Mus musculus: one gene and its partner. The protein of the gene in region 1 purifies or fractionates together with the protein of each later gene. This does not show direct contact. Links are inferred from orthologs where the notes say so. Each region holds a gene or a part of one and is shown in the gene's direction. Other genes may lie near its edges. The genes, in order: Prdm16 and Ctbp1.

Evidence for each region.
Region 2: the proteins of Prdm16 (region 1) and Ctbp1 purify together in Homo sapiens (affinity purification with mass spectrometry; 3 studies listed by BioGRID and IntAct, with this or other methods). This does not show direct contact. The link is inferred for Mus musculus from reciprocal best matches to the Homo sapiens genes PRDM16 and CTBP1.

Annotation. Positions count from the first base shown.
Region 1 is NC_000070.6:154,318,756-154,322,565, reverse strand, and holds part of Prdm16 (histone-lysine N-methyltransferase PRDM16), read left to right. Parts: intron 1-120; coding exon 121-295; intron 296-1,643; coding exon 1,644-1,778; 3' UTR 1,779-3,810. UniProt on the Homo sapiens protein: Binds DNA and functions as a transcriptional regulator. Displays histone methyltransferase activity and monomethylates 'Lys-9' of histone H3 (H3K9me1) in vitro.
Region 2 is NC_000071.6:33,246,966-33,251,057, reverse strand, and holds the end of Ctbp1 (C-terminal-binding protein 1), read left to right. Parts: coding exon 1-200; intron 201-556; coding exon 557-687; intron 688-1,343; coding exon 1,344-1,471; intron 1,472-1,833; coding exon 1,834-1,951; intron 1,952-2,371; coding exon 2,372-2,558; 3' UTR 2,559-3,335; downstream 3,336-4,092. UniProt on the Homo sapiens protein: Corepressor targeting diverse transcription regulators such as GLIS2 or BCL6. Has dehydrogenase activity. Involved in controlling the equilibrium between tubular and stacked structures in the Golgi complex.

The DNA of each region.
Region 1 (3,810 bases):
GTGGCTCGTGGAGACCCGTGGCATGCATGCAGGCACGGGGACCAGCCATGAAGCACCAGAGAGATGCCACCAGTGGCCAAAGAGCTGACCCCAGGCCCCTCTCCCTGGTCCTTGGCGCAGGTGTGTTGAGGAGCGAGGAGGCGGCCTGTTAGCTTTGGAGCCGACGCCGACCTTTGGGAAGGGGCTGGATCTCCGCAGAGCAGCTGAGGAAGCATTTGAAGTTAAAGATGTGCTTAATTCCACCTTAGATTCTGAGGTTTTAAAACAAACCCTGTACAGGCAGGCTAAGAACCAGGTAGGTACCCAGCAGAGCCCTCGTCCCTCCTCCCATTCCCACTTGGCTTAGACAGCAGGCAGCCGCCATGCCTCCTCACCATAGGATACCTGAGAACTCTGGCTGTAGCTCTCCCATGGCTGGAGGACGGACATTCCGATCCACAGCCCCCATGCCCACTTCATTGTCTGAAGAGACAGCCCGTAGCTGTGAGCCTCCAGCAGCCTGGTGGAGAGCAGATGGGGCTTGGAAGACGGATTAGCGTGAGATAGCTCTCATATCATGAGTGAGGGCCGTTTTCCTGGTCTTCCTATCCCAGCCCCAGTCCGGAGCATCTCTATCGGGTTCTGTTCCCTCCTCCAGCTTCTGGGTCTCCCCATCTCTGGTCTGAACCAGGATGGGTGACTACCTTGCTGTTTTAGGAAAAGTCTCCATCAGGTGGTCCCGGTTTCTAAGCTGGAGCTAACACAGGGTCCTTGAGGGTATGTGCAGGCTTGTCCTGGGCACTCCTGTGTTCACATCTCAGGGACAGTGGCTACAGGACTCTAGACCCCATTGTTGGGACATCAAAAGGGGCTTGGCTCTCATTCCAGCCTTCCCAGCACCACCTAAATACTTTCACCCCAATTCGTCTGCGTGTCTGTCTTCGTCTCTAACTACTTCTGTCTAGTGTTTGCTCAGAGGTATGGGGGATCTATACTGGGCATCCCCAGCGCCCACCTGTAACTCACATACTATGCTGCACACAGCCTTCAGCCCTGGCACCTCCTGTCCTGAGTTTGAGGCAGGAGGATGCCCCATGATTGTCCCAAACTAGCAAACACAACAGATTACCTTAGAATTGCAACAGCTCAGAGACACTACCCACTCTGCTCCAAACAGCAGCCCACCACGGTCATTCAGAGTCCCACTAGACAATGGCAGTCTCACTAGCACAGAATCAGGAATAACTCCTGCCAATCCCCAGGATGTCCCGTAGCAGACATCTGTTCATCAGCTTTTGCCAGTCACTAGGCAGAGAAACCAAGGGTCGGGGGGAGGTGGAGATGCAATTGCAAGGGAGCATCCCAAGAGGTCAAGAGATCCCCGCAGGCACAGAGACCTCTAGAGGGACTACTGTGTGTCCTGGTGTCACTCTGGGCAGGAAAGGTCCCCTCTCCTCTCATGTACTCCTGTCTCCCTCTCCCAAGCCAGAGGAGTCTGAGCCTCTCTAATGCCTTTGCTTCTCTTTCTCTATCTAGACTGGGTGGGGTGAGGGAGGAGAGGGCAGGGGCGGAGCTGGACAGGTTGGGTACAGCTGGTGAGGCAAGGCTCAGGCCTACCTATCTAGGATGCCCCTCACCTGTCCTGTGTGTGCTGTGTCCCCCAGGCATATGCAATGATGCTGTCCCTCTCTGAAGACACTCCTCTCCACGCCCCCTCCCAGAGCTCACTGGATGCTTGGTTGAACATCACAGGACCCTCGTCAGAGTCCGGAGCCTTTAACCCCATCAACCACCTCTGAGGTCCTGGAGGCCCCAGGGCCAGAGTCCAAAGCCAGGGTACCAGCTGCAGGAGATGGAGAAGGGGCCAGGGAGCAGCCCCCCACCCTCAACACCTCCACTTTGCAAAGTCCAGCTTCTCCATTGAAACTCAGAACCCGAAGGTCCCTTGAGTAGCCGCTGGCCTTCATCACCTCTCAGAACTGGCCTCAAGGACACGATCTGCAGTGGGTGCGGTGCACGGGCCACCCAGGAGCTGCTCACAGGAGCCATGGATCAGAAAACTCGTGGGCAAGGGTGGGGTCTCTATCCCAGCAGGAGCCAGTTGGCCACATCCAGGCAACTGCATGGTATGAAAGAGGAAATCGGAAAGACGTGGGCAAGTGCTATGGAGAGAGACCTCATCAATGATTTTTATAATGAGAATCACATGATTAAGCCTTTTGGTAATCTTATTGACTATAGAGTCTATTTAAGCATGTGGGTTTTAAAAAAAATAGACGGTATTTTTTAAAAATCAAAAAAAAAAAAAAAAGACTTGCAAAATGTTTTTTTAAAAGTAATTTTGCATCGCTTTGGAATTTCAGCTTATTGGCAAACCCACACCTGCCAGGACATCGAGTACGGCTCGGGTGTGCCCTTTATAATGTAAATAATGGAGAATTTTTTTTCTATCTCTGACCTGTTTGTATAAGCCAAGGTGATTCCAGTGTGCCCGACACAGGATAAGGGGCATGGAGCCACTCTGCTAAGTCAGATGCTGACTACACAAGAATTCATGGACGTGGTGCCTGGCTGCAGGTTTGCAGAGGGAGGCCAGGAGAAAGAGGTCGCCTTGCCCTGTGTGCTCTGCAGAGGAATCCACGGGTCCCACCCAAGACCCTCCCCAATTGTATGGGGAAGTCGGGAGCCAGTGGCTCAGGTCTTCCATGCTGGACACCTAAGGATCTTCCCCTTCAGCAGCAGCACTGGCCTTGACTGCTGCTCTTCTGAAGGCAGGGCTCTGGGCCATGTGGAGGCCTCCAGCCTTCTACCCTCCCCAACCCTGGCAGGCTGATGCCCTCCCCATGGCCACTGAGTGTGGGACGCCTGCCCACCTGCTACTCCACTCCAGGACACCAAGCACTACCTGTGCCTAAGACTCCAGATCAATCACACAGTCGCCACTTCTGCTCTTTGTGTGGGTTCCTGGTGAGAATAGGACGGGGACAGGAGGAAGATCCAGGGGACCTGCCACAGCAAAGAACAGAGACAGTACAGACCCCAAGACCGGATGCCTCACTCATTTGGGACGGTCAGAACGTGTCTACTTCTCTGCTTGGATGGGCTTTAAATTATCCCATAGGGGCCAATTTCAAATAATTTCTTTTCCTGATGGAATTTACCTTAATCTGTATATAACTTGTAATTTTTTTTTCTAATTCATTTCTTTCCTTATTTTATTTCTTCCTTAACAGTATTTTTGGCATTGGACAACTTATTCTGAAGAAATGATGTTAATATAAGTATGTAGTGAAGGACCAAACCGTGTGATAAGGTTGTGTGCTGTGTGATCGGTACCCAGGGAGCGGGGCGGTGTTAATGTGCCAAATACCCCTGTGTCCCTCCCTCCAGGAGTTCCACGGTCACCACTGCCCACTTACCAGACAATCATATGATTTTGTTAAATTTGAGTTTCAGTTACATTTTAAGACAAGTGTTCTATTTATTTTATTGTTTGGAAGGAGGGGGGCATATCCCAACAAGATAAGAAGGAACAGAGACCGCCTGGGTTGTCATTTAAAACTACAAGAGATTGTGATTGTGTGAGCGTCAGCAAACTCGGAGCACGCGTGTCATGCCGTGGGCCTGTCAGCGGTTCCCTCTGGGAGCAACTTAAACATCCAAGCACAGATCTTTTATATTTGCTAAGGCCGTTCTGGGACAAAGACCGTCATCTTTGCTGATGCTCAGTGGTCCAGGCTACGCTGGGATCCGTGATGGGGATATCCCAGAAGACACCATTCCCCTGCAGGTTGCGGTGAATCTCAGTGACATAGCATGGAACAGTCAGTC
Region 2 (4,092 bases), on another chromosome or scaffold:
CGGTGGCACTTCGGGCAAAGGCTTTTGGCTTCAACGTCCTCTTCTATGATCCATACCTATCTGATGGAATCGAGCGGGCCCTGGGGCTACAGCGCGTGAGCACGCTGCAGGACCTGCTCTTCCACAGTGACTGCGTTACCCTGCATTGCGGCCTCAATGAGCACAACCACCACCTCATCAATGACTTTACTGTCAAGCAGGTACGCTGCAGCTTCCCCACCACCCTCCTCCCCTCTCCCACAGGGCAGTGCTGTCCCTTCTTCACAGTGTAGCCCTCTACTCTTCCCTCAGAGTTTACCCTTGTCCCTTCCCCCCAGGAGACAGTGGGCCTCTGGCCTAGACAGCAGCAGTAGTTAAATTCCTGGGCCTGTCTCATTCTGTTGATACATCAGGGTATACTTGCTGATGCTACTGCCCACCTGGCCCAGGGTCTCTCCCAGAACTTGTCTGTATCAGGCCATCCCCTGGTGGGTGGGAAGTGAGATTTGTTGTGGATGTGCCATTACAGTGAAAAGCCCCAGTGTCAGTCACTCACATGGTCATCCTGTCTTCTCAGATGAGACAAGGAGCCTTTCTGGTGAACACAGCCCGTGGTGGCCTGGTGGATGAGAAGGCACTGGCCCAGGCCCTGAAGGAAGGGCGGATCCGTGGCGCAGCGCTGGACGTGCATGAGTCAGAGCCCTTCAGGTGCCCCTGTGCCCTAAGATGGACTATGCCCACCAATCTGATGACTATGACGTGGGAGACCATGTATTTGAGCACTGCCCTCTTGCTGGCTGGGTTAGGGGAGGGTTTGCTGTCTGCTCTCAGGAGGGGACAAGATCCTCAAGAATCTGTCTAGCCTTGGCCATAGTAATGGGCTGGGCTTAGACTTGGCTTATTTTCAGTTTGTCTCTTGATGTCCATGATGGTCCCATGGTCCCCAGACTCAGCGGGGCCAAGGCATACACTAGCTTGGCTTCGCATGCAGCCTCTAGTCCAGTCTGGGCTGACTTCCTTCTTGGGGCTCCAGCAGCTGACAAAGCCCATCAAGGGATAGCAGACCAGTTGAGTGATTAGCCACTGAAGAACACAGTGGAGTCTGTCTGAGAGCCCTCATTCCTAGGGTTTGTTCTGCTGGGCAGGGCTGTGCCAGCACCACAGCAGGGCTCTTCCTCTAAGGCTCAGAATCCCCTCTACCCCTTACTGTTAAGACCTTGGGGTAGGTTTGCTAGTTCTGCAGTTCCACTTTTTCAGATGCCTTGGGAAAGGCCAGGGGCCCTCCCATCCCAGGGCTGGTTGCCTTCTGCACCTCCCAGACTTGGGTGCTCAGATCACTCTGACTGGGTATGTGCTATCCTCAGCTTTAGCCAGGGACCCTTAAAGGATGCACCCAACCTCATCTGCACACCCCATGCTGCATGGTACAGTGAGCAGGCGTCCATTGAGATGAGAGAGGAGGCAGCCCGGGAAATCCGGCGAGCCATCACAGGTGGGTAGCCATGCTATCAGGCTGGCAAGTTTGTTTTATGCCTGTTAAGGGGAGGTGACACTTGGTTGTTCTTTTATGGTGGGGGAGTCCCTTGGGGTGAAGTTGAGTAACACATCATTTTCGTACATGAAGACCTGCTGTGCTGGATGCCATCAGCTGCTTGTGAGCTGAGAGCACATGTATGGGGCTAAGGTCTCCAGGTTGGAAGCTGACTTTTCAGGTGGATGGTCCTATGATGTTCCTGGGGAGTAAGCCAGGGCTGTGGCAAGAAGGTGGCTCTGGGTCTGCCTCTTGGCCCCCACAGAGGCAGCAGTTTTAATCCACATTGCTGTCTCTCTCTGGTGTACCTTCCAACATCCTAGGCCGGATCCCAGATAGCTTGAAAAACTGTGTCAACAAGGACCACCTGACAGCCGCCACGCACTGGGCCAGCATGGACCCTGCTGTGGTGCACCCTGAGCTCAATGGGGCTGCCTACAGGTGAGCAGGCAAGGGAGGGGACAGTCTGCAAGACAATGAGGCTTAAACCTGGACCTTGGCTAGTAGGTTATGCAGTAGTGGGTCATATGACTGGGGCTACACCCTTATGTAAGGCCCCTGTGGATGTTAGAGGATTGAGCTGGATGGGACAGTCTACTTTTCTTGGGGTAAGAGGTTTGGCCTCCTAGACAGGACTGCTGGGCAGAACTGTTGTTGGGCCAGAGAGTAGTAAGGAGTCAGGGAATGGGGCTTGGGGAAGACCTCATGTGAGAAGCCAGGCTGTGATGCTGCCCAGCACTGACCAAGTGCTTACTGCCTCCAACTTTTCTGGACCTCAGGGGTCATTGATAACCATACAGAAAGGGCTGTGTGCAGCAGGTGGGTCTCTGTAGAGCTCACACGTCTGCCCTCCTCTCTCAGCAGGTACCCTCCAGGCGTCGTGAGTGTGGCCCCCACTGGCATCCCAGCTGCTGTGGAAGGGATTGTTCCCAGTGCCATGTCCCTGTCTCATGGCCTGCCCCCTGTGGCCCACCCACCCCACGCTCCCTCTCCTGGCCAGACTGTCAAGCCTGAGGCGGATAGAGACCATACGAGTGACCAGTTGTAGCCTGTGAGGAGCTGTCCAGCCTTGGCACCTGGTGGAGGGTGCTGCACGCTCTTGGACCCAAGTGTGCAGAGGTGGCATCCAGTGTGGGCCCTAGCACTCCAGAGACTGGCCCGGGCGTGCACTAGGCGGGGCAAGAGGAAGCACGTCCCCAAGTTGATTGTAGTTGTCCCGTCCTGTGGGCTGGCTCACTGTCCTGTGTCCTTTGCGTTCCTCGTTTAAGCAAAAGAAGTTAGTAGCTAATTCTATCACGAATGTTCTTGTCTGTGTACAGTTTTTAGAACATTACAAAGGATTTGTTTGCTTAGCTGTCAACAAAAAGAAAACCTGAGGGAGCATTCAGCAAGTCAGTTTGAGATTATTTTTCCTTTTCTACGTTGGAACGTGCCCCGGAATGTGGCCGTCGGCACACTTCTCAGGACAATGAATCCTTCCTGTTTTTCTTTTTATGCCACACAGTGCATTGTTTTTCTACCTGCTTGTCTTATTTTTAGAATAATTTAGAAAAACAACAAAGGCTGTTTTTCCTAATTTTGGCATGAACCCCTTGTTCCAAGTGAAGGCGGCATCACGAGTGGCTCCGAGGCGTCTGCAGTGCCCAGGGTGCTCAGGACCACCGGGGTCTGTCCTGGGGGAGGCAGGGGTTGGCAGACCCTTGCCTGCGTGGTGCCGTCCTGCTCATGTGGTAGGCTAGCAATATTTTGGTTAAAATCATGTTTGTGACTGTAACCATTTGTATGAATTATTTTAAAGAAATAAAAATCCCAGAAAGAGCCGGCACGCCTGGCACCAGTTTTAATGGCTTCATCAAATGGGAGCACTGGTGGGTCCCTTCTGGTCCTAGCTCTCATGACCTGCTCCACTCATCTTCTGTGGAGCAGGCAGTCCTGGGGAGACCCAGAAGAGGGCAGCAGCAGGTAGGGCTATAGTCCCCACTACATCTTAAGGGGATAGAGGGCCCTGGGTTGGGGAGGCCATCCTTACATACAGGGAGGGAGGGCTGTGGTGGGACCACCCCTTTTCTCCAAACAACAGCCCCTAGGCCAGCAGCTCTTGGACTGGCATTTTGGAAAAACCCACTGAAGGAAATTCAACAGAAAATTACTACTAAACAGAAGTTTTAGCTTGCATGCAAAGTGCCAGGCTGTGTGTGATTCGGTTTCCCATTTCCTCCACTGCATTGTCTTTAGATGCAGGCTGTGATCCACTGAACTGATTTGACAGTAATTCCCAAAAGGATCTGAGCCTGGCATCAATGTCCAGCCTGCAAATCAACCAAAGCAAAGAGGCTCTGCCTCTGTGGATGCTGAAATAGTTGAAAGTAGAAGCAAGCCTTCTGAGTAGAACTGTGGAGCTTCAGTGAACAGGCAGCATCAATCCCAGAGCTCAGCTGTTTGTTTTTAATGGGTCAACTTTATATGGATAATGAATGTCTGCCATCTGGAATTCTAAGACTAGGGCATAGTAAAAAGCAGGTGGTGGCTGGGGAGATGGCCCAGTGGGTAAATACACTTGCTCTGTAGGCACAAGGGCTTAT